2 linked regions of the Danio rerio genome follow. The protein of the gene in region 2 interacts with the protein of the main gene of each other region in a pairwise test. Links are inferred from orthologs where the notes say so. Each region holds a gene or a part of one and is shown on either strand. Other genes may lie near its edges.

Region 1 (16,952 bases), on a different chromosome or scaffold from region 2:
TTCACACAGGCAGAAACATTCCCTAATTTCCCCTGGAGAAGCAGCATTCACACATCCATTCCAAAATACTGGTAAATTCTGACATGACCTCTAAAGGCCTGTGCTGGTATTTGTAAAAACACTGTAAACAGTTATTACTCACTTCACAGTAAAAATAATAAGTAAACCAGTTGCCTTAAAAGTGAAAAGCTGACTTTACTTAAAAAAGTTAGTAAACCTGTTAAGTTAACTTAATTTAATCATTATAATTATAGACATATGTGCATTTATACTTTTAATTTTACATTAAAATTATAAGTAAATACACTGTATTTTTAATTAAGGCAAAAGGTTTCACTCACTTTTTCTATTACTGAGAGAAAAACTACTTTAGAATGTAACTAATTCAACATACACAACAAAAACTGCTATTTTAATCCTGTTCAGAGAACTTATAAAATAGTTTGTAAACATATTAAACAGGAATAAGCATGAACCTTGAAAATTACAATATTGTTTTCTTTTGCTTTCCACTTTACATTAATCTGCCACTTTATTACTATTACCGGGTTGGATCCCCTTTTGCCTTCAGAACCGCCTTTATCCTTCGTGGCATAGATTTAACAAGGTACTATAAATATTTGTTAGATTTTGCTCCATATTGACATGATACCATCACACAGTTGCTGCAGATTTGTCGGCTGCACATCCATGATGCGAATCTCCCGTTCCACCACATCCCAAAGGGGCTCTATTGGACTGAGATCTGGTGATCATTGTCATGTTCAAGAAACCAGACTGAGATGATTCACGCTTTGTGACATGGCACATTATCCTGCTGGAAGTAGCCATCAGAAGATGGGTACACTGTGGTCATTAGGGATGGACATAGTCAACAATACACAAACCCTACAGCCTGTCTGGCATTACCAAACTATGCCACATTCAAAGTCACTTAAATCACCTTTCTTCTCCATTCTGATGATCAGTTTGAACTGCAGCAAATCGTCTTGACCGTCTCTACATGCCTAAATCCATTGAGGTGCTGCCATGTGATTGGCTGATTAGAAATTTGCTTTAGAGAGCAGTTGGACAGGTGTACCTAATAAAGTGGCCGGTGAGTATGTTTGTGTTTTGTTAATGGGAAAACAAATCTGCATAACAATAATTTTAATTGTTCACGTTTTGAGTTCACACTTGAAAATGATATATGCATAAGAAATACAGTCACGATAATTCAGGTATAGATGAATAAAATAATACAGTGACTACAAAACCACACAAAAAGTATTAAGTTGTACAGGTATGTTTGCAGGAATGGCCAACAACACAATTTTTTGAGTCAAAATTGTCACTTTTATTGCTACGTATTGCTAAAAACTAAATCTTTCCTCACTGCTTTGATTTATTTGAACCATCAGACTCCAGATTTTCAATGGTTGATATTGCCCTATCCTAACAAACCATACATCAGTGAAAAGCTTATTTAAGAATAATTCATAAATCACCCTCATGACTTGTTTTGTGGTCCATGGTCACCATAATGCAATTAAATAAACAGTTCAGGGCTTAAGAAAGAAATCTTAAAATATTCTTTGGAATATTCGGAATAATATAATATTTGGATTCTATGGCATTGCTGCAAACAAACAAACAAAAAACGTTTAAAATATTTATAGTGCATATTTATTCCACCAATAACCCAAATCCTGGATAATCTGGCATCCACTGAAATGCACAGACAAACCGCAGACACAATCACCTCTGTGTCTCACCTCTTACACACAGACACACACACTTCCTCTTCCACATTTACTGTCGGCCAGCAACACCGCATCATCAGGGGAGTCATCAGGATTCAGCACAGACCTGGACAATTAAACATCATACATGTCAACATCAGTGCGTGGCTATTTTTAAAGATGTGCAGCACAAAAGAAGAAGCTTTCTAAAAGCAAAAATGACTTATTAATAATGAACTCGTTCCTCCTTCAATGGCAGAACGTTCACATTCAAAATCCTGAACCCAACACTTCTGCATTCCAGAAAAATATTAATAAACTCAAGATAATGATACACGTTTCTTCTTTACCAACCAGACATTGTTCCAAACAAAAACCCATTTCCCATTCTGGAAATATGATGCATCCGGAAAGAAAAATGCACAATGAACATGAAGGAATTATGATTTATTTATGCACTATTTAGACACTTTAGCAGGACTGATGCTGCAGTAGAAGTTTTAAACCTTGTGTTGGGGATGTTTTCATCCACTCTGAAGTGATTTTGAGTCTTAATTTGGCCACAACTTTCACTGTGTTTAAGCATTTTGGGAAAATGCTTTAAACAAAATACAATACACCTTTGTGCAATACACCCTGGGCAAATTGACTACCCTTTCATTATGTTCGGGGCTGTTTTTGCCCCATTGACTTTCATTATAATCACATATTTGATTGCAAAGCCATGACACCATATAATACTGTATTTATGATTGTTGGTGGTTTTTCCTGTTGGCAAGAGGTACACTACCTGACAAAAGTCTTGTTGCCTATTCAAGTTTTAAGAACAACAAATAATAACTTGCCATCTAGTTGATCATCTGGTATCAGAAGTGGCTTATATCAAAAGTCAAAGTCGTCTAAATTGTGCTTATTTTACCAAAATAAAATATGATCATGCCTTGATTTTTACTGATTTAATTAGGACAGTAAGGGCTGACTTTGCATAGACAAAAGTCTTGTCACTTAACAGAAATAATGTCTAGTATAGAATATAAAGTCATGCTGCAGTGGAGAAATAATGAATATTGTGTGACTCCCATGAGCTTGGAGGACTGCATCCATACATCTCTGAATGGCTCAAATCACTGATTAATAAAGTCTTCTGGAATGGCAAAGAAAGCGTTCTTGCAGGACTCCCAGAGTTCATCAAGATACTTTGAATTCATCTTCAATGACGCCTCCATCTTACCCCAGACATGCTCAATAATGTTCATAACTGGTGACTGGGCTGGCCAATCCTGGAGCACTTTGACCTTCTTTGCTTTCAGGAACTTTGATGTGGAGGCTGAAGTATGAGAAGGAGCGCTATCCTGCTGGAGAATTTGCCCTCTCCTGTGGTTTGTAATGTAATGAGCAGCACAAATGTCTTGATACCTCAGGCTGTTGATGTTGCCGTCCACTCTGCAGATCTCTTGCATGCCCCCATACTGAATGTAGCCCCAAACCATGAATTTTCCAAACCAAACTTGACTGATTTCTGTGAGAATCTTTGAGTTCCAGTAGGTCTTCTGCAGTAGTTGTGATGATTGAGATCCAGTTCAACAGATGATCCATCAGAAAAATCGACCTTCTGACACTTTTCTAAATGATCAACTAGAAGTCGAGTTATTATTTGTTGCTCTTACAGCTGGCATAGACGACAAGACTTTTGTCAAGTAGTGTACGATGTGTATTTATTACTGTTTATCATCGGATGCAGTGCTAAAAAAAAAAGCTTAGGTTCTGGCTTTGGAGATATATGGAGGACAGTGTGTGTGTGTGTATATATAAAGGACGTTTGTGCACTTACCTTGATACGTCTGTAAAAAAATCTAAATAAGCAGCTCAGCACTCAGAACACAGAAAACATAGTAAGTGTATTTATGCGTACACAAACAGACACACACACTATAATTCGCTGTTTTACTTCTGTTTTACACTTCAAAGAACTCAATTTAAAAGCCAGAAACTGTTTTGCAAAGGCCTATCTAAAGGGTTAATGCTGCCAACTGATGATCAACAGTAACAATGACAAATTTACCCTCTGCCCAACAAAGAAGCATGTATAATGAAGTATGTATAATTATATGCTGTCAAGGCTTTGCAATCAAAAATGTGGTTATAATGGAAGTCAGTGGGGCACGAACGCAATGAAAGGGTAGTCAATTTGAACAATACATAAAGTTAATGGATACAAATTTATAAACTATTGAAAGGTATTTTAGTTTAAAGGTGGGTTCATGATGTCTTTGTATGGTTGTTGTATTTGTCTGCATTAAAGAAATGGAAACTTTATTTAATCGACGCTATAGGACGATAAGAATCAATGGCTTCTGGATTTAAACAGTCAGGTTCAACACCAGACATCCGGAAGCCTATACAGACATCACTATATGCTAAATAAAAAAAAAACTGCAACCTGAATCATGGCAAAAAGAGGATGTCCTGGGCAGAACTTTACTTGGGCCGGCTGAATCATCAACACTGGCACATGCTGACTAATCAAAAAAGATGAACCTGAACAGACGGACTATACACATACACTGTCTGTCTATCAGGATACTCATTTTATTTCCCCTTTTACCACTGTGCATTTAATAAAGTGCGCTAAAGAAAAGGTTGATATTGTGTGTGTGTGTGCCAAGACACTGATATTGAGGCGCTTACGAAGGAAAAAACACAATTCACTTGCAGCAAAAGATTTCATTCTGCTCAAATTAGATTTTAATACTATTTTTTAATCTTTGCATACGAGCGATTATAGAAAAGGATGAGGGAAATTGTTGATGATTATCTGAGAACAGTAAAAGAGTTCAGTTTGGTGGATATATTGACAAATAAGTCATTATTGCAGGATCCTAAAACTTTGTTTATTTGCAATTGGCTGGATTCTGAATTTGTAAATTAAAAATCGCAACATCCAATGTTGGTAATCGGTATTAAATGATTGGGATTCAGTGCTTTTATATAAATAAAAAGCATATAAAAGTGAGACTGAAATGAAGTAAAGAAAGACTACTAAAGTCATTGTATTTGCACAGTTGATTGATTAAATAAAGAACTGCATATATTTTTAAATGATAAAATGTTTAAATATGCATGCATTAATAATAATAATTTGCATGCATTCCTAGCAAAAAATTTTGGACGAAATGACTTTACGTTTTAAATTCTTGTTTTTTTTTTTCTAGGCTTTTACAAAGTTTATTTTAGCAATCTCTTTTTATTACTTATTTTATTCTCTTTGATGGCCAAATAAATAAATATACATTTCTGTAGAATAAAATGTTGCATATAATCAGCCAAATTAAGCATTAACAAATCATTGTTTAACCCTTGTGCACTGTTCCAATGTTCTACACTTTTGTTATGTTAGGGATGAAAGCATCCACTGAATTAAACTGCTGTAAAATGCATAAGATTTTAAAATTCATAATTCTTTTTTTTTTTTTGCATAATTCTGTTAATCAACCTCAGTCCTGATCAAAACGACTAAACTGTTTTGAAAATTACAGGATGTTAACTCTGTACTTGCCAAATTCATAAATGATGCACTGTTTCCGGTGAAAAAACAAACACAAAATGGCGCATTTTCAATATAAAGAGTAATTGTAGACTGGATTTAAAAAAAAATAAATTATCAGTCTTGGACATGTGAACAATTAAGAACAACATTGGCTGAGACATTATTAGATTTTCATTTTTTCTCTCTAATTTACTGTTGGTGGCTGTTTTTGCCCTATTGACTTCCATTAACCACATTTGATGGTGCATAAATGCACAGTCTTTGTTTTTATTTACCCCATGTAGTTCTTAGAGCCGAGATGCACATTTTAATTTTCTCAGACACATCAAAGTAAGTGCGTAAAGGTCACTCTCACACACTCGCAGACACACACTTTAATTTGCTGTTATACTCTATATAAAATCCGAAAACTATGCTTTCTAAAAGCCTATCTAAAGGTTTAACGCTGCCAACTGAGGATCAAAAGTAAAAATTACTTATTTAACCACAAACAATCAGAAATGCAGGATTATATGGTGTCTTGTTTTTGTTATCAACAAAAACGGTTATAATGGAAGTCAATGGGGGAAAAACAGTCACCAACAGTAAACTAGGGAAAAATAAAAATCAATCAAAGACAATGCTGTTACTAATCGTTCACATGTCCGAGACTCTGATAAAAGGTTTAAAAACCCAGTCAACAATTCTTATATTGAAAATGCGTCATTTTGTGTGTGTGTGTGTTTTTTTTCAGCAAATCAGTGACATCGTTTGTGAACTTGTCGAATAAAGAGTTAAAATCCTGAAATTTTCTGAATAATTTAGTTTTGTTTAGGACTGAGGTTGAAAGATTCCAAAAATTCAAATAAATATTTATCTGATGCATTTTCACAGCAGTTTAATTCAGTGGATGTTTTCATCCCTAACATAAAAGGGTAGTCAATTTGCTCAGAGTGTATTGGTGAGGTTTTTTTTTTATTATTCAAATCTATTTTTCAAAATGTCAAAATAAAATGTCACCAAAAAATTGATTCCATTTGCTGAAACAGAGAAAGCTCATGGGCAAATTCAGACACAAAATCACCCCAGAGTGGATGAAAACATCCCCAACAGCACATAAGGGATAAAAAGTATAGGAATCAAACTGTTAGTTGTTAGTGCTTCTGAAATGGAGATTTATGGCTCAGTGCTGCATAAGAAAGTGTTTTACCTTAACTGCTGTTTATTAAAGATTTAGATTTTATTGTAATTTACACAACTCAAAATGCCTGATCATTGTAGCAATTAGGATAGCATAGAGCAAATACAAAGATTTTTAAAAGAAAATTAATTAAATTGATATATATATATATATATATATATATATATATATATATATATATATATATATATATATATATATATATATATAAATGCATTGTGTCTGTGTGTGTTCTAAACATTTAACCAAATAAAATAAGATATGACTAGCCTATTATACTGACTTCTAGGTCACCAAATATTACAGAAACCGAATATTATATTTGTTAACTATAATAGTTATTAGTGCAACTTTTCCACACAAATTGTGCTTGTAATAGCTAAAAAAGCAAATAGTATACTGGAATTTAACGAAATAAAGCGTTTTCGTGAGCTTTTAAGGATGCTACATCAGCTAAATAAACACAAACGACAAGTAGTTTTAGGTTTTAGACCAGACTGCGAGGTGTTTAGCAGTGATTCAGTGTGATTGTGTGCACGAGGGCTTTAGCCAAACAATTCAGCCATATTATTAAAAACCGCGTGGCCATTTTATAAAACAGACTGTCCTTTGTTATATATGAACGCTTTAAATGTGCGCTGGGTTTGTACATAAATTTCTGCAAAAGGTTTGGGAGCACAAAGCAATTCCCGTAACCTACCGAGAGCTCCTCTCCGCTCCTCTCGACTGATCTTCCGGGAAAACTGCAGTTCAGCTGAAACACGACTCTGCTGTTCCCATAGAGACACAACAGCACGTTCCCCAAGATCACCATATATGGACACGGAAGTGCAAGCGAACGACAGGGAAAAAAAATGTGTGGCGCGCAAATACGCACTGACGTCAGGCGCTGTACGTTTCTGCGTACTGAGAACGTTCCGATCATGACAGCAGCCTCGGTATCATCGAATCTATGTGGGTGAAAACACAGAAACCTTCAAAAATACATGGATCTCGATACTCTGTGATAAAATTATAGTGCACATTCTAGACATGAGGGTTATGTATGTTGCTGTTTAGAAACGATGCATTCATTTGCATTGCATTATTTGAGGGGCTTCAGAGAGGAGATTGAAAACAAAGACAGACAGACACATTTCCTATTTAATATGTATTCTCTGTTTATTATAAACATGCCAGACCACAGAAAAGGAAGCAGGAAGAGCAAAAACATAAAATATGCATGATTTTTTTGCCACCATGGTCAATATTACATTGTAATTTTAATAAAGAATATGTAAAAACAGTAAGTCACACACTTGGACACTGTGTAACGGACCGCACTGTACATCAACACATCAACTGATACAGTTACACGTACCTCTTGGTACAAAAGTGCATGAAAGCATGTCTTTCACAGAGATGGACAACATATTCAACAATGCCAACAAACTGGAAGAAACAAACAGTGACTTCACTGGATGTAGGGTCACAGTACATCTACTGCACAGCATTCACTATATTTCCACTATATTAGACATGTGTTGAACATGTCAGACTCATTTATGAAATGATTTTTTGTTGTATTTCACACCATTCTTTAGAATATTTCATCTATAAAATAGAGGTTCTTTATTGGCATTTGTGGCACCAAAGAACCCACAACACCCGTGGACCTTTGTATTGCACGCACAATGTGGAAAATGTTCTTTGGATCATACAAAGATTCCATAAGAGAGCTGTTTCCTCAGGGATGATCACTCACAAATCCACTACAAATATTCCGGTGAACATTTATTCTTAATGTGAAGAACACTTTAACTATTTGTTTACAGTATTAAGTACCTTCTGTGATTAAGAACCATTAATTTTCATTGTGACAGCACGGTGGCTCAATGGTTAGCACTGTCGCCTAACAGCAAGAAGGTCGCTGGTTTGAGTTTCTCATTATTTCTGTGTGGAGTTTGCATGTTCTCCATGTGTTGATGCGAGTTTCCTCCTGGTGCTCTGGTGCTCATGATGGACCTAGCTTTCCCATGTGGTCTTCCATCCAGGTACAGCCCTGCTTATATAGCTTTCATGGCGACCATGTGAGAGTTGCAGAGAGCTAGCTTCCAGCAGAGCTAGTACTGGGAGGCACCCATACACTCTCACATGCACACACACACACACTCTTACACTACGGCCAATTTAGTTACTTAAATTCCCCAATAGCGAATGTGTTTGGACTGTGGAGGAAACCAGAGCACCTGGAGGAAACCCACGCCAACACTGGGAGAACATGCAAACTCCACACAGAAACGTCAACTGGCTCAGTCAGGACTCTAACAAGTGACCTTCTTGCTGTGAGGCGACAGTGCTAACCACTGAGCCACCATGCCACCCCTTCAATGCCATCAGAGAAGCTTTATCATGTGTAAATTATTCCTCACACCAGGAATAAAATGGAGGACCAAACACTTTTGCTTCGGGGGAAACCAAAAGAGTATTCATTGCTTTTAAAAATATTTTCTTTTATTTTGAAGCGATGCCACGGAAGAGCTGTTTCCGCCCAGAGAATATTCGTGTGCTCTTCTAAAAAACAACCGTTTATCACGTAGTGTTGAGAACGTTCTGATAATTGAAAGAACCTTCTGTGTGCATTGGACTGTTTCCGCACACTTACGAGTATCAGTAGGATATTTCAAGAGTTCACACTTAGATACTGTTTGACAACTTATTAGCAAGTTAGCAGGTTTGGCATGCTGTCCCGGGTGAGAACCCTGAGCTCGGAGATAGTTGAGCCCAGGGCTCCCGCTAGGTCCATAAAGCATGTGAGGGGAGTACGAGGTCAGGTGTTCTCGAGAGCTCCCCTCGGCAAAAGAGGAAAGGAGGAGAAGGGGTGGATGGGGGGTTTCTTCGGAAAACGAAGATAGGGGTGTACATCTTAGCTAGGTTATTTATAGTGAGTTTGGATCGTTCTGATTGGCTAGCTAATGAGCGTAGATGAGTGGCCGGCTGCAGTCAATCGTATCACGTGCTCCTCTCGAAATTAGTTTATGAAACTTCATTTATTGGTATTGATGGTTCCATGAAGAACAATTATCATTCATGCAGATTTTCATTCCACACAAACTTTCTTTATAATTAAATTATGTTATTTAGATTATTTACACACTAAGAAAAATGCTTCTTATAAAGTCTGTGTTATTTAGTCTCGGCGCCTAGCCTGCAGCTCTGCACAAGAAGTTTGGCCAGAGGAGAAATAGTCGTGCCCAACTGAGTTTCTCTCAAGGTTTTTTTTCATTCACTTTTGTCAATTGGTGAAGTTTGCTCCTCGCCGCTGTCGCCACTGGCTTGCATGGTTTAGGAATTGTGGAGCTGCGCATTGATGGATTTGCTCTTCAGTGTTTGGACTTTCAACAGTGAAAATTAAACCACACTGAACTGAACTTCAGCTCTGAAAACTGGACTCAATTTACTAGAACTTCTATGGTAAGCTATGACACAATCTACATCGTAAAAGCTCTATAAACAAACATGAATTGGAATTGAATTTTTTTTTGCAGCGTTTATCTTGCTAGCCCACATTGTTATGCTTTAGGTAATGCAAGTTAGTGCAATTGCAACTGAAAAAGCAATGTTTATTATTTTTTCTTCAGCTTAGCCTCTTTTTTCATCAGGGTTCGCCCCATTGGAATGAACCGCCAACTTATCCAGCATTTGTTTTACAGGAAACAAATTTTGTTTTACTAGGAAACACCAACACACACTCTTTCACACACATACACTACAGCCAATTGAGTTAATTGTATTCACCTGTAGCGCATGTTTTTGGACTGTGGGGGAAACCGGAATATCCGGAGAAAACCCACCCCAAAATGGGGAGAAAATGCAAACTCTACACAGAAATGCTAACTGGCCCAGCCGGGCTCAAACCAGGGACCTTCTTGCTGTGAGGTGATTATGCTACCCACTGCACCACCGTGACGCCTGAAAAAGCCATGTTTGTTTTGGTATATTTAATCTAAGTCTGAGATATAAAGGGAATTTCAGACTTATATAGGGCTGAACACTAAGGACTTTTTCCAGTTGGTTGTGAAAACGAGGTTTACTAGCCTCATCCAAATATATATATATATATATATATATATATATATATATATATATATATATATATATATATATATATATATATATATATATATATATATTTAATTAGTTATTTCTTAGCCACATATTTTAAATAATGTTTCAAAACAAGCAAATGCTAGTTGTATCCATGCACACTTGTTTTAAACATAACTTTCTTCTTCAAAAAAAACAAACAATTGTATATAGAGTTCGGTCGAAGGTTTTTTTGAGATGGATTGTTGGTGATTGGAGGCATGGACAGATGAAAATTAAGACTTGTTTAAAAGGATTTAAGACCTACAAGACATAATTTCAGCGAGTTTAAGGCTTTTTAGGACCCTGCAGAAACCCTGTAAAAAGGAATCGTGCATAAAAAAGCCCCGCCCCTGCTCAGTGTTCTGTCTGTTAGTACATCAGCACACTGAAACTAAAGTCTCAGCTGACTTTAAGAACAATTTTAACAGAAAGCTTCTGCGTGGATCCAATTATGGTTATTCAATCCTAAAAATAACTTTACTTTTTTTTATTAAAAATCCTTCATGGAAACATCAATGCCAGTAAGTATATTCAAGAGTAAAATATTCTACCAGTTTGTTTATGGGAAACCTAATGTGTTCTTCTGGGCTCTTAATCATATTTTTTTTGTTTTGCAGTGATGCAACTGAAGAACCATTTTCCCCCTCCAGAAAACATTTTAGTGCTCAAAACAACCATTTATTTCTTAGAGTGAGGAACAACTTAATAATTCAAAGAACTTTCCATGCATTGGAAAGGTTCAATGAATGTAAAGGATCATTAAAGATGCCAATAAAACCCTATTTTAGAACCTTCATTTTATTGAAACACTCCACTTTCTTTTGGAAATAGACTCATTTTACAACTAACCTAGAGTTAAAGAAATGAGTTTTACCCTTTTTGAATGCTATTGAATATTATCAGGCTCTGTGTATTATCACTGCTCCTGCTGCAGCCACCTTCCCACATAGCAAAACTTCTCTGGCCCAGATCTGGCCCACACAATCAGTTTTTGCTTGGCCCACATGCCGCAGTGAATTATGATACATGACTGGACCAAGTCTGGCTTCCATACAAGAGCCAAATTTGGACCATATCTGGGCCAAGTCTTAGCCAAGTTAACAACCCATAACTGGACCTGAACTAGACCAGATATGTTGGTGTCACGACTGCAATGAATTTGAGAAACTTATGAAGCATTTGTGCTATGGACCTGCTTTTTCTTGAAGCGACCTGATAGCCAGAATTTCTTCTTTATTCAAACATAATTTAAATGCATTTTAAAAGTGGGTGAAGATAGGCCAAACTTATTTGGCCCACATATACATTTTGAACATCTGGACCAAATACTACATTTTACATCTAACCCAAGTCTTGTGTGCCATCTTAAAGACGGTGCCACCTGTTTGGCACCACATGCTGTATGCCAGTGCCGAATAAATGCCTGCTGTGCCAGCTTTATGCCAAATCTGGGCCAGAATTCTTTGCTACCTGGGTTGATTATTACGCTGAATGAACGTATAGTTCCTGGCCATATCAGCCTAGAAACTGCAACTTTTCATTTTCTGTAAGTCTCAGCACATGATGCAACAACAGAGGAGTCAAGCTTTAAATATGGGAGAATTATCAAAACTCTTTTTTAAATATTTTGAGTGAGATGCTAATGGTCTAATCCGATTCAATGATCTATGCTAAGCTAATCTAAAAGTGCTCCTGTTAGACTCATAGATTGCCTGAATGCATTTTAAAAATTGGTAAAACTCATCCGTTTAACTCTTGGAGACTTGTAAAATTAGCCTACTTGATACTATAAAGTGAAGTGTTCCTTTAAGGAGTGCACAGTAAAAAATATCAGTAAATTAGCAGCTTTCTATATTTTGCGATTCGCGTTTTTATTTTTCCCCATTTATGTATGCTTTTGAATTGCATTACAGGACCTTGACCTTTCTTCCAACAACTTTTACCCTTAAAAAGTGACTTTTATTAACATTTTTAAGAGTATAAAAGTGATATAATATATATAGTCTGGGTTGGTGTTGTGTCTTACTCTACAAAAGCCTTGTAATATACTGCCATTACATTTTCTGTTATTTTATTTCTCTATATATACTTTATATTATTTCAAGTGACAAAAATGTCAATAAAAGTCTCTTTGATTAACTGTAGAGTTGACTTTTCAACCATCAAAAAACCATCATTTGATATGCAGCTTCTCCTAGACTGCCCAGGAGTCTAGCACCTAGACTGAAACTCTGGGGTGGGTTTCCCAAACACTGACGTAACTCGCGGCTGAACCATGCGGCTGAACCATGCATGCAACGATGCATCGTTTGGGAAAAGATCGACGTAGTGACGAGTGTTTCCCAAAACTCGTAGTCTCTCTGTCGCAGATCTATTGTTTGAACCATGTTAGTTGTAAAACGCCCATAAAGATGCTCTAAACGGGGGGGTAACAACTACTTTAGAGAAGAACCACATCATTAATTTGCGCAAATTATATAGTTTTACACACATTTGAAAAAAAAATCCAATATTTTTTTGGGTAAAAACATGCACTCGCTTTCCGTATTAACTGAAATATATGTAAAAGGCAGATATAGGGCCTGTGTTTCTTAACAGATATTATTGAGAATATTACATATTCTATTCTATAACATAAAATCACGTACAAAAGCAAACACATATTCTAATCTCATATACAAATCATATAATCAGACTATTTTTTAAGAAATGAAATTTAATATTTATTATTTATTAGAAAATAAAAAAAATCCTACTTTAATAATAATATTAATGATATTAATGATTATGATGATGGTTATTATTATTAAGTAGGATATTGTTTATTTATATTATTTTTTATTTTAAGAAAAGTCTACTTTTACACTTTGACACTTGCAAACCACCGCAGAAATGTCCTAACCAACAGGCCCATGTCATATACAGTACAGATACTTAATAAACAACCGACTATAAATTAAAAGCATTACCGTGTGATATGTTTTTTGTTTTTAAAAGCTTCGGAGACGTAACATAGCCTAAATTCCGCTTTTAAATAATAGGTCAGGGCGAAGCAGTGGCGCATTAGGTAGTGCTGTCGCCTCCATCAAGAAGGTCGCTTGTTCGCTGGTTCGAGCCTTGGCTCAGTTGGCGTTTGTGTGGAGTTTGCATGTTCTCCCTGCGTTCGTGTGGGTTTCCTCCGGGTGCTCCGGTTTCCCCCACAGTCCAAAGACATGTGCTACAGGTAAATTGGGTAGGCTAAATTGTCCGTAGTGTGTGTGAATGTGTGTGTGGATGTTTCCCAGAGATGGGTTGCGGCTGGAAGGGCATCCGCTGCGTAAAAACTTGCTGGATAAGTTGGCAGTTAATTCCGCTGTGGCGACCCCGGATTAATAAAGGGGCTAAGCCGACAAGAAAATGAATGAATGAATAATAGGTCATCTATAGCTTTCGTCATTGGCCACGGCCGTGTTCTAATGTTTTCAAAGTGCACTGCGGCGCAAGCGCAATTGTAAACATGAAGATTGCTAAAACTGAACTGTAAAAATACTTTGAAAGCAAATTACACCTAAGAGAGATGACTTTAATGTTTGTTTGTTTTAATAATTCCAACTATAAATGTTAGAATGTTCTAAACGAATAGGGCACAGGGGGAATAAGTGGAAATACAACACAGCCAGAGTTGTAGTTTCCAGTGTTTAACAAACGTGATTTTGACGTAAGCTGCGTCCCAAATCGCATACTTATGCACTATTCTACGCCATTTTGTAGTATAAATATATAGTGTAAGTAGTGCGTTGACACTGAAAACTTAAAAAATAATAAGAGCACTTTAATTACGCGGATGATGCACTCATTTAGCCGCTAAAATGAAGTGTGTAATGATGGAAACTTCACGCACTCAACGACCGCAGGTTTGCTCACGTAGCGGAAGGGGCGGAGCTATCGGACGCACATGTTGGATAACTTTATTTATTTTGGATGTTGAAAGCAAAATTCTCCTACGAGAGTGATTATAGCACCTCCCGATGGTGAATGCGGTTATACTCACGGCAGGTATTATTTGATAATTCAGTCGTTTATTTCACTGATTTGGCGACCATCAAACGTCATCAGAGAAACGGTTTGAATTTCCGTTTAGTAAAAACACATTAGTGTGCCATTTGGGACAACACTACATACATGTACTATCCTGTTGAGTGTGTAAGTGCATAAGTGCATAGTGCATAGTGTATAGTGTATATAGGGACGCAGCTGTAGTTTGCGAATGTTTTTGGGAACGATAAATTTGGAAAACAGCAAATCAACGAACTCTGTTTGTAACTACGGAACTTGTGACATTAGTTGGTTAACGATGGTTTTCGGAAACGCACCCCTGCACAAGAAGTCTGGCCTGAGGAGAACTGATTGAGCACCAAACTAAGCCTGTTTTTGCTCAAGGTTTTTTTTCCTTCACTTTCGTAAATTGGTGAAGTATGTTTGTCACCACTGGCTTGCTTGTTTTGGGACTTGTGGACATCGATGGATTTGCTCTTCAGTGTTTTGGTGTTCAGCAGTGGAAATTAAACCACACTGAACTGAGCTAAGCTGAACTCTGAAAACTGGACTGGAGCAGTTTAAATTTACTTGAACTTCGTAAGCTGCTTTGACACAATCTACACTGTTAAAGCGCTATAGAAATAATTAAAGACGAACTGAATTGAATCACAACATATGGAAACTGCTAATTAACAGATCTATATTTTTACACTGTGGCTTTCCAGAACCCTTCATAAAGTCGTCATCATTTCTTTGGCTGCGTTTGATTTTCCCTCTTCTTTACCGGTATCATGATCCTCAGCATCTGCGTCAGTAAAGTTGAAGACGGGCACAGCATCGGTGCTGGGGCTGCATGTGGGCGAGCTCAGAGGCTCCAGCCCGCCGCCCATCGACATATACAGCGTTTCCCATTCGCTGAGACCCAGAGAGCTGCTCAGGTCGATATCCGGCACTAACAGATCCATGTCATCGCCGCTGTCTATAACACTGCTGATATCTTCCATGCACACATCCCTCATGTCGATGTACGGCTCCACCTCGGCAGCGCCCAGTTCAGCACTGGAGCACAGCAGGACGTCTGAGTCCCCGAAGATGGCAGCGCTGGTGGGATCGGCCTGCGGGGGCGAGGCGGGCACCTGCTCTGGCACACTGGCAGCTTGAGTCTTCTCCTCCTGGGCTGGAGCTGGTTCCTCATTCTCCGTCTCCTCTGTGAGTTTACAGTGTGGTTTGTGAGCTGAAAGGATGAGCTCCAGTCGCTCTTTTTCCTTCAGCAGGCTGGCGATCTCAGACTGCAGAGCCGCTTTGTCTTCTTCCAGACCGTCGGTTTCCTGGACAGATAAGGATTGTGGATTAATATATACAGTTGAAGTCAGAATTATTAGCCGCTCTGTACATTCCCAAAATATTATAGGAAATACTGTGAAAAAAAATTTTTTTGGGAAATAATTGACAAATAATTTCACAGGAGGGCGAATATTTTTGACTTCATCAGTATATACAATGACAATTATATAGTACAATTCTATAATACTAATATATACTATTAAGTTTCGTGTCATGCACAAAGTTTTCTTTTATGATGGAGGAAATTGCTGATTATCTTTTTGTACACTTACAGCTTGCAGGCTGTTGGTTAGATCTCGCCTACGATTTCGACACTTGGCAGCTGCGAGTTTATTTCTTTCCCTTCTGATTCTTTTTCTTTCCTCTTCCTCTGGAGAAAGCTGAAATAAAGAAATACACCACATTGGGAAGAAAATGCTGCTTTGCCTACTTTAAAATTTCCAGAATAAGTTTTCAAAACAGGAAAATATTGATAATTACATCAATTTAAAAATGCAGCTAATTTAAAGGCAAAAATATCTGTCAGTTACTTTAAAACAATATTTAACCCGTAGCAACCCAAAGAAATTGGGTTGTCAGCTTAATTTTTCCACACTAATGAAGTTTCGTATTTTTAAGTCCACACACTGATGTTTTTTGTTATTTTTTAAACTGATAATATGGGACTTTACATGTTTTTGTTTTGTAAAACAATGAAAACCTGTGGTTTAATACACATAAAAGTTACCGGAAAACAAAAATGTTGTTGTTAAATGTATTTCTTACAAGCCTGAACAGTACATTTAAAAACAAACAAAAAATTTACAATTTCAGCTACTTTATTTATTTGAGGTTCTAAACTTGATAACGTGCAACTACGTACATAACACTGGATTTGTTTTCAATTTTAATTTGAAAAATCTAATTGAAACAACTTATTTTTTAGAGTAATCGACTTAAAAGTTTGAGTTTTTTGCTATGTAAAATGCCTCTGATTGAAGAGGAAAAGATTTGGTTAACATAATAAAGCTTGCTG
Region 2 (15,985 bases):
GATTCCCATTTTAATAAAGATAAGTGCATACAAAATTTATTATTATATTATCATTAATTATAATTTATTTATGAAGTTATTCTCTAATTTGTAATCGAGTAAATGCAAAACCTTTTCATGTCAGTTCTCATTGGATCTCCTCTTTTCCTGCGATGACGTGACATGTTTTTAAATATGAAGTTGTTCTGATGTAATGCTTTTATGTACTTTGATCTTGGCGGTTCATTCTGCTGTGGCGACCCCGGATTAATAAAGGGATTATGCCGAAAAGAAAATGAATGAATAAATGTATTGATCTTGCCATGAAATAGCCAGAAGTTGCTCAAGTGGCAATAAATAAAAAACCAAACTTCTGCTTTTGCTCCTGACAGGATCAACACACCACGGAAGCAGGGTGGCCTTGGCTCCATGAACATCCCGCTGGTGGCCGACCTGACACAGTCTATCTCCCGTGATTACGGAGTCCTGAAGGAGGACGAGGGCATCGCCTACAGGTTTGTGATTTTATGATGACATTTGCTCTGCTTCAGTTAAATTACAGGCTCTTTCTCTTTCAGTGCATCATTGCAGCAGGATTTTATGATTCCATTCAATTCAAGCTTCTTTTTATAGCACTTATTAAGCAGCTTTACAAAAGGTGCATGTTATTATAATGCATTTGAACTCAGAAAGTTAAGGTGTTATGTATAGGGTTGACTACTATAGTGATTCTGCAATGTGTGTATAGTGTTCTTTTCATGGTCAAGTGTGCTCTAGTGTCCACGTGCACTGCTGGGGGAGGTGGATACACAAACCACAAGGGAAACATATGAATTGTGTGTTGAATTAATGCACCTGGGATATTTAGATAGATAGGTTTAGGTTTATTAATGGTCATGCTTTTTGTTCGAATAACGTGAAATCAGATCAAATGAAAATGTAACCGTTTATAAACGCATTTAGCATTTATTTATTTTTATTATTATTTTATTTTAAAAAATGTCCACCTAATGGCACATTATTTATGCTCAAATGTAGACAATGTAATAAGAAATGATCAGTGTTAACTCTTATGTAGCAGTTAACATTATGCTTTAATTTGTTTGGTGTTTACCTTGCATTGGACCTCATGTGTTTTTAAAATGTAACTTGAATGCTCAACCAAATTCCTGCATTAAGAGTAAGTGTTCTTTGTGTTTTCCTGCTCCCACAGAGGTCTGTTTGTGATTGACGATAAGGGCATCTTGAGGCAGATCACCATCAATGACCTGCCGGTGGGTCGATCTGTGGACGAGACTCTTCGACTGGTGCAGGCCTTCCAGCACACCGACAAATACGGAGAAGGTGAGAGAAAACACACTCTCTTTCTTAAGGCTGATTTATACTTTTATACTTCTGGCACAGCCAAGAACTGTGAAGGCTTTTATACTTAACGTGCTCGCTGTTGTACTATAATGGCCTGTTTCCACTGAGTGTTACAGTACGGTTTAGTTCGGTACACTTTTATGGCTGTTTCCACTGTCAAAAGGTACCTACAAGCGAACTGTATTGTACCACTTTTTGAGCACCGTTTGCAAAGAGTACCCAAGCACAACAAAAAGGTACCAAAAGACTGAGCTAAACGCGCAACTGAATGCTATTGATATACAGAGAAATGTCACTCGTGCATACACAAACAGAAGAATGAAAACAAAGAAACCGCCATTTTTAAATGCACAGCTGAGACATTACATCGTAATACTATATGCATATAATAACAACCCATGGTTGACCTAAGCTCAAACTAACCTTCATCATCTTGATGAACAGCCACAAAGCCGAGAACAAAATCTGCCTTGTCCTGTTTTTTGTTTTTGTTTTATGAGGCTGTCTAAAAGTGCGAGCGGTTTTACTTTCTCCAGGGAGCTCGCCGCAACCAAGCTGACCAATCACAGAGCTTGCGCTACGCGTCAATACATTTTTTGAGAGGTACACGTCAGCCATGGCAAGGGACCATACGCCTGCGCCTGACGCAGAAGTATAAATGAGCCTTTAATGTCCTCTAATGTCTGTCTCGGGTGATCTTTGTGTAAATGGGGTCAAACATGTTTCCAGATCATTCTAAGCATGTTGTATTTGTTGTGTAAACATCAACGCATCCTGAAGGCAACATAAAAGTTAAATTGTGAAACACAATGTATCTGAAATAGGGGTGTCAAGCCTTTATTTGTGCAAAACTTAAGCCAACGTCTTTAGTAAGATTACCGTCTACAAGTTTGACTTGAAATCTGATATTTTTGTGTGATTTAGAAGAAAGTAACCTATAAAAATGAAAACAAATGATTTTAATATTTTTTTATAGTCATTCCATCTAGGTTTTCTCTCCCCTCCACCTTTTTTTTATCTCAGAACATTTTAAAGAAGATTTTTAAATGCAATTGTGGTTCTTGCTGGTTTCATTAAATGCAGGTCAGCATCAACCACCACTTTTAGAGTAAAAAAAAATGCATACAGGCAAAACATAATGAACACCTCTGACTGCTGACCATGCATTGAGGTCTTATGAAGTGAAAAAGTTGCCTGCACATGCACCTTTGTGACTCCAAAAGTGCGACTAATGTGCGTTATATGAATCAGGTTTTTTTTTCTCTTGACTGGCCAGGGATTGTAATCAGCTGACATTTCCTCATGATCGGCCTAAACGATGACCGGCTGGTCTTCTATTTAATGGCGTATATGCGGAAGGACTTTTAATTTGTCAGTAAACTGGGTTAAGCACTATCAGGTTGTTAAAGTGGCCAACTGTGGTATTGGTAACCTAGCAACCAAAAGTAAACAAAGCATAATGGAGACAGCTGACTGGTCACATGACTGTAATGCTCAATACGTCAAGAATTTGTTCATTTCATCTCGCATTATTTGAATTAACATCTTAATTCCTCTGGTTCATGCAAAATTTAACTTGGAGTCTTGTCAGATTTTTATATTTCTGTTGTTTTTTTTTTCAGAATTTTTTTTTTTTTGTATATTTAAAAAAAAAATTGGGAATCTGAATCATCCAAGAAAATTGCTATCGGTGCTAGTTTTTCTTCAATGATCATGTGACTGTGAAGACGACAATGATGCTGAAAATCCTGCTTTGCGAGACAGAAATAAGTTTAAAACATTTGAATAGAAATCAGTTATTTTTAATTGAAGTATGAAAGTTTTTTTTTGCATTTAATATTCGTAAGTTCAGCTTTGTGAACATTATACAAATATTTAAAGAACAGTAGAAATCTTAAAGACTCCCTACTTTTTGAACTGTAACTGATGTAATACTTTATGCATGACACAAGAGGGCGCCAAAATCACTTATTATAACTTCTTATGCTTTCTCCTTTAGTTTGTCCTGCTGGATGGAAGCCAGGAAGTGACACCATCGTTCCCGACGTGCAGAAGAGCAAGGAGTTTTTCTCCAAGCAGTAACAGTCTCTATTTCTGCATTCACTGGGCTGTTGAAGCACTTAAATTCAGCCTGAGGGGGTCTAGAAAAGTTGATTTAGCCATCGTAACAAACACAGGTTAAATGCACTAGTTAGTCTGATTTCTGTCTGAAGAAGCCGTTTCAGCCCGCGTCTCTCATGCACTGAAATATCTGTAGTTTGTGTTCAGCTAGTTAGTCTGCATTGCATATTTGGTACTCTGTGAACATAGCTGGTTTTAAATTCTCTCAAGTTGTTGGCATTCTGGTGATTTTGTCAATATCTCTGTTAAATAAACAGGCTGTTATTGCTGAATGTTGCAGTTGTCTTATTGTGCTTGCTACTTAATGGATGGTTGACCTCAAATTAAACATTTAATTAGTTTAGAAGGTATGGTAATGGCATGGTAAACCGAATTTTAAATGCAGAAGGACACAGTAGTGTTTTCTTCATGTTTTAATATTAGAATTATAATAGATGGAACAGAATTTGAGAGATAAATGCATATCATGAAATTGCATGATAATTCATGAAACTAAACCTGCGAAAACAAATTTAATAAATAGGCAAAAATTAAATGAGTAAATAAATCAATAAATTCTTGCATAAATAAAACCTTAAATAAATATCCAAATGAGTGTATTTTAAAATTTTTTTTAAAAATGTTGCATAAATAAATATTGAAATGAATAATAGTGTGGGTATGGAGAACAAAACCTGCAAAACAATAAAGAAATATGCAAATAAATGAATAAATAAATACATACACATTCCTGCATAAATAAAACAATAAATAAATACCTACGCAAACAAATATTTATTCTTGCATAAATAAAACATTAAATAAATACACAATTAAATGTATAAAATCTACAAATTTGTGCATAATTAATAGTAGTTTGAAAGGGGGAGAAATCCACGTTCAGTTAAGCATTTTCTTATTCCCCCAACATCTGTGTAATTTATTTTTAATCTGCCTGTACTATTTAAACAATTATTTATGCAGGAATTTGTGTTTTATATACATTAAGTTATTTTTTGGATATTTATTAATTTATTGCTTTGTTTATGCAGGAATTTATTAATTTATTTACTTATTTATTTGGCTAGTGTTTTATTTAGGCAGGACTTTGGGATAAATTTGCATATTTATTGATTTATTGTTTTATTTATGCAGGAATTTGTGGATTTATTATTTAGTTAATTTGCTATTTATTTTTTATTTTATTGTTTTTGCAGGTTTCTCCCTTTCTCCCTCCATAGTATCTTATATAATATTATAATTCAATTAATAGTATAAATATACATTTTACCACCCCTATAACGGTTCATACCATTGTGAAGGCAAGCGCGCCAAACACTCTGTGAGGAAAAAACATTCACTCGACGATAGTCTGAAACTGGCAGGTCTTCAGCAGCTACAGACATCGTAAGTGTTTAAAAGACACTTGTTTTAAGTAGAATATATGTTTGTGTCTGTATATAACTTAAAACTAAAGTCAATTGAGTTATATAGATTGACCTAAAGTAACCCCTGAAACGACTAATCGAGTCACTATAAGTTAGAATACGCTAAATATCCTTTAAAACACTGAAGACTTATGTTTTATTATTAAAATATACGTAATTAAAATGAATATATAAAACATATATTATTATATAAATATATAAAACAGACATTTGATTCACTGAAGCGTGTAATACGCTATCGAACATAGGCCTAAATGATTCACACCCTGATTAAAATGCTTGTTTAAGAATATAAAGTTATTAAGATTAAAGGTAGCAGGCGAAGTCAAACGTATTTTCTCTGATAATGACATTACAATATTTTTGGTGGAAGTCAAAATTAACAGAATATTAACAAATCTGCCCTGCAGGTGGCAGTGTTTCATTATAGTTAGGACAGAGTTACAGCTCTGGAGTCCTCATTGATTCAGCTGTAATGAAGCAGGAATCACTTTTCTACATAAACCCAAAACAATTTTAATAAATATTTGGCAAATCTCGTGTTCAGGACTGAGTGAATGTGTACTTGCTTAAACAAGTGATTCGTAAATTCTGTGGTTATTTTACACTGAATTTTAAACCAGCTCAGACATAAATAGTAATTTAGTTAATCTCCTAGAATTGTCTTTATTGCTTAAATCTGTAATTTTGTTTACAACATCCCCGTGTTTTCTTATTATTTAAAGGCCAGGGCTCATTTCTGTGTCCATGAAAAAGGTAAATTCTGCCTTAATAAAATGTTATACTTTTTTTTTTTTTTTTTTAAATATAACAGATATTATAATATAAAGTGTGCCGTGTTATTATCCTGTCATCTCAAGCTTTACCTTATTCATTCACTCATTTTCTTGTCTGTCTTGTCCCTTTGCTTTACCTTATTTAAAAATCTAAATGTTTATAACGTGTATTAGCTTGGTTTCAGACTATGGTGACAAAAATGACCACTACAAAACTAAAAAATATGCTAAAAATGTTAATTATTAACTTCATATGTTGCCAGTAAAAATTCCTGGGTTTAAAATGTTGACTTGGCTCTTTAAAATGAAAGGCTATTTTATAATCTAGAAACTTTTAGATTGATCTTTATTGTGGAATAGGGTACTTTTCCAGATGATTTTGTAAAAGAAAATATAATAGGCAAGATGCCTTCTTTTAAGAAGAGATTTCTAACACTGCATCGCTGCGAAAACATTTGAAGTAGCTAAGTGAACTTTCTACGGCACAATTCAGTGTAGATGTGTGTTTATAGTCTGTGAGGAGGCTCGAAACAACCATTCATTCAACATCTGAAAGGTGTAATTAGCATAATGGACAAATAACCCTCTTTTTGTCACCTAAAATCTAAGTATTTTAGGAATTATTCAAATGAATTTAACATTTTAATAAAGGGTTGGCGTTTTTAATGGCCAGTTCGGCTAATCTACCGCCTGTGTGTTTTCGGGAAATAGCTGATAAAGGAGTCACTGTGGGCACTTCTCGTTTATAAGCCTTGCTCTTATATTTACTGAGATCTGTTTGTCTATTTTTGTGCTTGCGACGGCTCCGTTTTCTGCAAAGTACCTGGAAAATGCCCGTGCTCATATTTTTATCTCTAGTTTTCTTTTCGCTGAAACTGTTTTGGGAAGGTTTGTGCGCGCGGGGAAAATCCCGCGTTGCTAAATTTTCTCTCGTTCACACGCGCTCCATTCATCGAACGTCAGAGTTGAAAGCGCGCGGACTTCCTGACCGGTAGCGTGGGCGGGGGTTCCCGAAATCTACCCTTAGTGACGTACATAGACCAAAACTGCCCATATATGGGCCTTGCGTCAGCAGGAAAAAAAAAGCCAACGTGGGCACGTCTTCGACGTAACTTTAAAGCCGTAGGCTACAGAATAAACTTTGTTTCTGCTCTACGCTTGAAATAAACAACCCAAACAGTAGAATCATTTTCAACATTTTTACTTAAATATAAAAAATAAACAAAAACAAACAAACAGAAAAACAGTTAAAGGTCTGGCTCAACCTGACTCACAATATCAATAACTTACTGGAATGTTTTCAAAGGGCAGCACTTAACAACAAAACCAAAACTGTTCACTTCAAAAGTTTAGTCCATTGTCCGTTCGGCTGAAAGTACCTTATCTTTGGAAAACAACAATAACATTAAAGTTTTCTACAAGAAAACACTTAAGAAATATACAACGCTCGTACTCAGTGCTGCGACAATAACATCATCACAAACAGGATCTGCTCTTCCAGTGTTTCCCAGAGTCCGTAGCATCCCTCTCCCCCCTAAAACGACTTGATCTTCGGCGTCAGCATCAGCTGGCACCCGCTGCTCACATGGGTCATGACCTTCTGCTTAAGCTGAGCTACCTGCTCCCTCAGCAGGGACGCAGTGCTGGACAGTCCGGCGTTATCCGACTTGAGCACTTTCACTTTGTCCTCCAGCCGGGAGATGCGCTCCAGCTTCCGTCGCCGGCACTTGGTGGCCGCCAGTCGGTTCCGGAGCCTCTTGCGCTCCGCTTTGATGCGCTCCTGGTCCTCCATGTCGATGGGCGACATGGGAGGAGAACCATCGCTGCTCTGCAGGTCGGGGACGGTCTGTGGCTCCTCTTTCAGAGTAACGAGCCGCTGCGGATGGAGCGAGTGCTGGAAGTGATGAGGATGCGGCGTGGGCTGGTGGTGATGGTGGTGGTACTGCTGGTGGTGGTGATGGTGAGGCAGGTAGCTGATGGTGGCTGTCGGGTAGTTGGCTGCAGGTGTGAGGTTAGTGTTAGGATTGCAGCTGTTCAGGGTGGTGTACACCGGAGTCTCGGGCGGTAAGGAGGCGCCGAAGACTGACGACGCCACCGAACAACTCGACACCCCGGGGGCTCCGATGGACACGTTCGGCGGGGGCATTTGGTTCATTTTGTGGAGCTCGTCCAGCGCTTTGACGAATCCGTCCGCGAAGCCCTCTTGCTCCTCTGTGATGCTCCGACCGTACAAATACTGCCCCGGCGTGGGTGATGTGATGACGCCGTTACCGTTCTGGATGATGAGTCTCTCTAGCTCCGGAGAGGCGAGTTTCAGCGAGCCCACGTCTCCGGTCGCCGCCGTGTAGAAGTCGCTTTCGGAGCGGAGGGTCTTGAGGTTCCGGTAGGGTTCGGCGAAGCTCACGCTCATGTTCTGCTTTAGGAGCTTGTAGTCGTGCAGGGCAGCGTCTGGATGACCATAAGCAGAAAGAAACGAGTCGTCATAAAACGGTTGCTCCATTTTTGTTGACATGTGAACAGAGATTACGTTGGGACGTACTGAAGCTGACTAAAGTCCGCAAGTTCTCTCCGTTATATTACATCAGGCAAAAGAGAGCAAAAAAAGAAGAAACTTCCAAAATAGTTTACTGTACCAATTCGACAGGTGTTTTCTCTCGACAGCTGACGTCCAAAAAGTGTCTTCCCAGACGGTTATTTACAAACAGCTCTTCTGGCCCGTCGCGCATTCAGTATCATGATAAGTGCGCCTTCATTCTTATATACTCCAAATGCTGAGGGCGTGGCTGAGATAATCGCGGCCGCTGATTGGACGAGAGTTCGTTCCGCTCCTCGAGCTGTCAGATGGGTTGATGACGTTGTTGCCAGTAAGCGCTGAGATTGAAAACAACGCTGGAGGCGAGAGAGCAAAGGGAGACCGAGCGCTGCGCTCCTATTTTTGTTTCCACAGACAAGAAGCAAAAACTGGCCGCAATAGCTCGGCACTTTTAAGAAAAGTTTCCCATGGCCATGAAAACAGAAACACTACTGTGGTCTCTTGAGAAAAACACTACGTTAGAGGATGTCGTGTGAATAATAATAATAAACATTCTTGTCGAAATGGAAACAAAAGGTTCCAACACAATACTGTGATCTCCGTAGATCTGAAGCAGAATATACGAGGAGCTCTTTAATATAAACGAAATTGGAATTTATTTTAAATGTCAAGCTCTAAATATATTCCTTTAATTTAGGTGGAGCATCTAAACTGGCCATTTAAGTAAATACAGGATTGCAGGATTGAGATTGGGGGATTTCAGCCCAAGTTAAATGTGTCTGAGCTACCACATCATCTCGTCAATGATCAAGAGAAGCTCTATTAAAGGGTTAGTTCACCCAAGAGTTACAATTCTGTCATCATTTACTGACTGGATTCAAACCTTTCTTTATATGTTGAACACTGAAGAAGATATTTTGAGGAATGCTGGAAACCCATTGACTTCCATTGTGTTTGTTTTTCTTAACCGTTAGATTTTTTCAGCTTTCTTCAAAATATCTTCTTCATTGTTCAACATAAAAGTTTTGAAGCAAGTAAAAGGTGAGTAAATGATGACAGACATATAATTTGTGGGTGAACTATCCCGTTAATGTGCTTTATTGTTAAACATGCTAGGAAAGGCTATAGTGAGTAATATAAAAATAAAAGTAATTAAGAGAATATCTAATACAGATTCATACAAGGGCTTATCAGCTATTTGAATTGGACTGCTTTTTAAGTACTGAGTCATATAACACATAAAACATGACTAGTAATAATAATAGATCCTTCTCATAGAATTCACTGTAAATAAAAATGTGTTAATGAACAGTTACTGTATTTAGTGATTCACATGTGTGTTTTCTGTTTATTTATAGGTGTGAATTGCATTATGGGATGTTGATATCTGCTCTGTCGACTTTTAATGTTGAAAATTAAACTCTGCAGTTGAACAAAGTGACTTTTATTGACATTTTTGTCAACTTTATCAAATGAAATGAGTGGAGTTAACTCAAAATTCACTGAAAGTTAACTCTACACGTTCTTAACGTTTAGTTATTTCTTAAACCCAATGGTTGAGTTAAACATATTTGGTGCTTTGTTGGGTTATTTTTACCCTTTATTTGGTTATTTAATAATAACTCAACCAGTTGGGTAAATATTTGATGTTTTGTTGGGTTACGTTTAACCTTTATTAGGTTATTATATAATAACTCAACCAGTTTGGTAAATATTTGATGTTTTGTTGAGATATTTTTTAACCTTTATTAGATTATTTAATAATAACTCAACCAGTTTGGTAAATATTTGATGTTTTGTTGAGATATTTTTTAACCTTTATTAGATTATTTAATAATAACTCAACCAGTTTGGTAAATATTTGATGTTTTGTTGAGATATTTTTTAACCTTTATTAGATTATTTAATAATAACTCAACCAGTTTGGTAAATATTTGATGTTTTGTTGAGATATTTTTTAACCTTTATTAGATTATTTAATAATAACTCAATCAGTTGGGTAAATATTTGATGTTTTGTTGGGATATTTTTTAACCTTTATTAGATTATTTAATAATAACTCAATCAGTTGGGTAAATATTTGATGTTTTGTTAAGATATATTTGAACCTTTATTAGATTATTTAATAATAACTCAACTAGTTGGGTTAAAATTTTGAATTTCCACAGTCAACTGATTTAACTGACACAGAAGAGCTGTATTAATATGCGCAAGTAATGTTGTTTTTGCGTTGTGAAGTTTAAGCTGTAACATAATAATATTGTTATTTTTTATCAAATTACTCTCTGTGTCATGTTTTTTATATCAGTTTCACCTGCCATTCTTGCCTTTGGGACCCAGCGGAGAGATTCATTAATTTTCACAGCCATAGTTAGAAAATAAAAGTAGTACTTCAATAGTAATAGCAGAATGGAAAAAATAACATTTAATTAAAATAACCCAATGCTTTGGGTTAAAATAGCCCATAGTTGGGAAGGTGCTATAATAACCTATAGTTGATTTATATGTTGGGGTATTTTTAACCCAACTATTTTAACAGAGAACTCATTTGAAAATAGTTTTGAACTCAGGGTTGAAGGTAATGAGTTAATTAAATACCTCATTAATTCAACTTAAATGGAGTAAAGTGCTCATATTGATTTGTTTTTTAACTCAAATGGTTTGTAGCAATCAGTTTCTTCAAACGGTTTGAGTTGCCTTAACTCATTGAGTTTTGCAGTACTCAGTTGGTTTGAGTTCTCTTCATTTATTGGGTTTTACTGTGATCAAATTGCTTCGTTTACTCAAATGGAGTAAGTTCACAGTACTCATTAGGATTAGTTTTTGAACTCAAGTTTGTTGCAATAGGTTACCTTAAATGGTTTGAGTTACCTTAACTTTTGGGGTTTTACAGTGTAGTTTGAAATAATATAATGAATAAGAAATAATATATTGAGAGAAATAAATCAAAGAAAATGTACTGGCAGTTTATTACGAGGTTTTTGTAACACAATATACAACACCAACCCAGACAATATATCACTTTAAACTATTAGAAATGTTAATAAAGCCACTTGTTATGGCTAAAAGTTGTTGAAAGAAAGATCCCATAATGCAATTCAAAAGCTAAATATGTAGAAACATAAAAAAAGAAACTGCTGATGTTTTACACTAGAGATTTGTACTCTAAAGTATAACCTGTAAACATAACTCTGCATTGATCTGGAATGATCTGACTCAGGATTTGGCAACTGATATGAGTCCCATATATGGGCAAACCGCAGTGTAGTTCCTCCTTAGTGTAGGACCGGGAAACCTCTCCCATGTGGGCCTGATTCCAGCGGCGACGCCCCCGCACATGGAGCGCTGGAGGAGGGGAGAAGGCTGATAGATAGCAGCACGTACACAACACTCTGGCGCAAGAGTGTGAGATTCAGAGAGCACGTTCTTCATTTGTTCTTTATCTGTTCTTCATCTGACATATTAATGCAGACTGCATGTTAGTGTAGTTGTGCCGGTCTCTCAAACTTGATGCATGCACTCTTAAAAATAAAGGGGGATTTTCAGTGATGCTGGAATCATTTTGATAATAATTATAATGATACTATTGATAATAAAAGTGATGATGATGAGGATGATAATAGTGACAATATTAATGGTAAAAATATTAATAATATAAATATATAATATAGTAATATAACAGTTATAGTGATATAATAAGAATAGTGACCATAATAATATAGTGGTATTACTACTACTATTGACAATAATGAAAATAATATTAATAATATTAATATTAACAACAAAAAGTATTTTGAAAATAATATTAATAATAATAGTGCTAATAATAATAATAGTGTCAAATAATATTAATAATAATAGTGCTAATAATAATAATAATAATAATAATAATGATGATAAATAATATTAATAATAATACTGCTATTAATAATAATAATAATAATGACAAATAATATTACAAATAAAAGTGCTATTATTAATAATATTAATAATGACAAATAATATTAATAATAATAGTGCTATTAATAATAATAATAATAATAATAGCGACAAATAATATCATTAATAATAGTGCTATTAATAATAATAATAATAATAATAATAATAATGACAAATAATACAGACAAATAATATTAATAATAATAACAGCAACAATAATAACAACAACAATAATAGCAATAATAGTATTAAAATAACAGTTATCATATATTAATAATAATAATAGTGAAAATGATAATAATAATATTAGCAACAACAAAAGAATAACAACAATAAAAGTGATAATAATATTAAAATAATAGTAATAATATGCTAATAATAATATAAACAATAATGTCAACAAAGATAATAATGACAACAATATTAGTGATGATAATGTTGATAATAATAATAGCAACAACGATCATAATAAAAGCAATAATAGTGATAGTAATGTTAAAAATAATAGTAATAATATATTATTAATAATAATTTTATTAATAATATATTAATAAAATATAGTTTTATATAGCACCTTTAAAATAAGGCAAGTTAATTTATGTAGCATATTTTTACATGATAATAATTAAAAGTGCTTTAGATAAACAAAAATTAACCATAAAATACAATAATTATAAGAACTGAAAAAATGTAAAGCATTAACGTGATTAAAAACAGATAAATAATGTGATTAAACAGGTTTAAAATGAATATATTTTTAAAAGTAGCATCTTAAAAAAGTGCTTTACATGCATGAAAACTAGACTGAATACAAGCACACTATAATAAATTGCAAATAAAAATCACAAATCGCATAAAAAGTTATGCTAAAAAAATAATATAAGAAAATTGTTCTTTAAAAACCAAAACAAAACACTTGCTTTCTTTTTGTGCCTGATTAACTTTATAAAAAATATAATAATTAAAGTATAAGCATACAGGAAAAAACACATTTTCCCCTGCACAACCCCCAACCCTCTATACAGCCAAACCAAAAGATATCCCTTCAAAACATAACTTGCAATTTACAATTTTCAGAGTTTATAAACAAAATCAATTGATTAAAACATGAAAAAAATCAGTCATGTACATTGTAAACATTTGCAGACAATGCACATAATGGCATTCTCAATACAATTCATGCCACAATAATATGAACAATCTAATGATTAGACTGTCTGACTACAAAAAAAGTTCTAATAATCAGAAAAAAACACTTATTTCTTAGTGTGTTGAACATCTGAATCCCCATTTCCACTATAAATAACCTTTTATGTATGTTGTTTTTCACCTAACCCACAATGGCTGTCATTCAACCTTAGTTTTAATAATATAGGAAAAAAGCGATTGTTTGTAGCAGGTCAGAACACAATGCAGCTTCACATCTCTGGTGCGTGAAGATATTCGCGCGACCACATTTGAACACCTGTTTAGCACTAAAAGAAAGCCACTACTGTCTCCTCAATATGATAATAAGTCTGAATCATCACTGGCTGGGCATGGAGCCAGGTGCTAACCAATGTTTCGCCATTCAGCAGCAGTGCAGAGCCTTTCACCTACATTCAGGTATAAATCAGAGTTCTGTCAAGACGACACTTATGTCTCTTCTGCTGTATACTGTAAAAATACATTTACGGTAAAACACACTGGCAGCTGTGGTTGCTGTTTACTGTAAACTACTGTATTTCATTCATTTATAATATATTCAATGTTTTGAAGTACTAAACTAGACTGAAGTAATGCAATAAACATTATATATCAACATTAGATGTAACAAAACAAAACTTTTTACGATAAACTACCATATTTCATTCATTTATAATGTATTTAATGTTTTGGAGCACTAAACAAGTAATGTAATAAACATTATTTATCAACACTAGATGTGACTAAGCATAAAACCTTTTATGGTAAACTACTGTAATTCATTCATTTATAATGTATTCAATGTTTTGGAGTACTAAACTAGACTAAAGTAATGAATAAAACATTATTTATCAACATAAGATATAAATAAACATAAACCTTTTTTTACGGTAAACTACTGTATTTCAATTATTTTTTACAATGTATTTAATGTTTTGGAGTACTAAACTAGACTAAAGTAATATATTAAACATTATTTATCAACATAAGATGTAACTAAACATAAAACTGTTTACGGTAAACTACTGTATTTTATTAATTTATAATGTATTCAGTGTTGTGGAGTACTAAATTAGACCAAATGAATGTATTAAACATTATCAACATAAGATGCAACTAAACTTAAAAACTTTTTACGGTAAACTACTGTGTTTCATTCATGTATAATGTATTCAATGTTTTGGAGTACTAAACTAGACTAAAGTAATGCAATAAACATTATTTATCAACATTTGATGTAATAAAACATAAAACTTTTTACGGTAAACTACCGTATTTTATTTGTTTATAATGTATTTAATGTTGGAACTTAAAAAACTGAAATAAACATCATGTCAAAAAAAAAAAAAAAGTTATGTGTCATGCAGGGATTTCGTAAAAGTCAATTTACAGTAATTCACTGTCAGGGACGGCCTGGCCATATGGATCACGGATGGCCTGATGGTTCAATAACTTTTCCCTGTTAAAAATGCAGTCCCAGTCCGCCCCTGTTCACCGTATCTTACTGTTAACCAAATTTAGATTTTTAGCTGTAGCATTTTTACAATTTTTTTTCTGTTGAAATCACAGCCATTGGACAGAAAGCCATGATGCAATTTTAAAATATCATTGTTTTTGTTTACTGAGTGTTGATTAAGTTAATATGCTTTAATACACTGAAAAAGGCATAAACTTTCACATTTTGCGGCACCTCTTTTTCTAAGTCTGTCTGAAATGCTCTGATTAAGCCCCTCCTTCTTAAATGCTTGGAGTGTTCTAATTGGCTGGTTGACTTAAAGCCATAGAGCAGTGTGATTGTAAGCAAATAGCTTAAGCATGTGTCACAAATGTAACACCCTTTCCAATAATAGCACATTTTAGTTGTTAAGGCTTCTGAAGCCCTCTTTAAACTACGTTGTTTTTGTTTACTGTGTATTCGATTTTTGGCACATTTTGCAGCACCTCTTTTCTAAGTCTGTCTGAAATGCTCTGATTAAACCCCTCCCTCTAAAAAGCTTAGAGTGTTTTGATTGGCTGGTTAACTTCTGGCTACACGACCATTGTGATTGGGCAAATACCTTGAGTATGTGTCACTAATGTAACACCCTTTCCAATAATAGCGCATTTCCGTTTTTAAGGCTTCTAAAGAAATTGTAAACAGTTAACAATAGTCCAGATCAGTTTATCATGTCATTCCAAGCATGATTTAGATTCTGACAATTCGGATGATCAGATAAACTAATCAGAATCATCTTTAGTATGTGCTTTAGTATGTGTCTGTTTGTGTATTCAAATCATGATGAAGGTTTTTGCAGAAATAAAAACAGCTTAACAATTAGGAAGCATGGGTGATTATAAACATTACATGAGTGGTTTTATTTAGCCATTTGCTTATACAATATTTGCAATCCTATTACCAAATGTTGAGTTTCAGGTATACTCATTCTGATAAAATTTTTCAGTATTCATTCATTTTCTTGTCAGCTTAGTCCCTTTATTAATCCGGTATATATAAAATTAAATGACAAATTTGACATACAAATTCGTATTTTGGATTTACGTATATAAATATGCCATATATGTAACATACATTTCGAAATATTGCAAAAATAGGTGCTTACATATATATTTTTTCCTATTTATTGGGGTTTACATATATTTCTTTCCCAATATATTTTGGA

What was found.
Region 1: the proteins of junba (region 2) and batf interact in binary tests that used the Homo sapiens proteins (3 or more experiments, as listed by UniProt). The link is inferred for Danio rerio from reciprocal best matches to the Homo sapiens genes JUNB and BATF.

The regions. Positions count from the first base shown.
Region 1 is NC_133195.1:49,917,095-49,934,046, reverse strand, and holds the start of batf (basic leucine zipper transcriptional factor ATF-like), read right to left. Parts: upstream 7,193-16,952; 5' UTR 7,149-7,192; intron 1,849-7,148; 5' UTR 1,755-1,848; intron 1-1,754. Other genes in the region: si:ch211-153j24.3 (protein c-Fos), read right to left, coding at 15,325-15,921, 16,210-16,317. UniProt on the Homo sapiens protein: AP-1 family transcription factor that controls the differentiation of lineage-specific cells in the immune system: specifically mediates the differentiation of T-helper 17 cells (Th17), follicular T-helper cells (TfH), CD8(+) dendritic cells and class-switch recombination (CSR) in B-cells.
Region 2 is NC_133176.1:55,049,198-55,065,182, forward strand, and holds junba (junB proto-oncogene, AP-1 transcription factor subunit a), read right to left. Parts: upstream 8,406-15,985; 5' UTR 8,302-8,405; exon of another isoform or gene 8,181-8,301; coding exon of another isoform or gene 8,079-8,180; coding exon 7,203-8,078; 3' UTR 6,854-7,202; downstream 1-6,853. Other genes in the region: prdx2 (peroxiredoxin-2), read left to right, coding at 372-494, 1,193-1,323, 3,344-3,426. UniProt on the Homo sapiens protein: Transcription factor involved in regulating gene activity following the primary growth factor response. Binds to the DNA sequence 5'-TGA[GC]TCA-3'.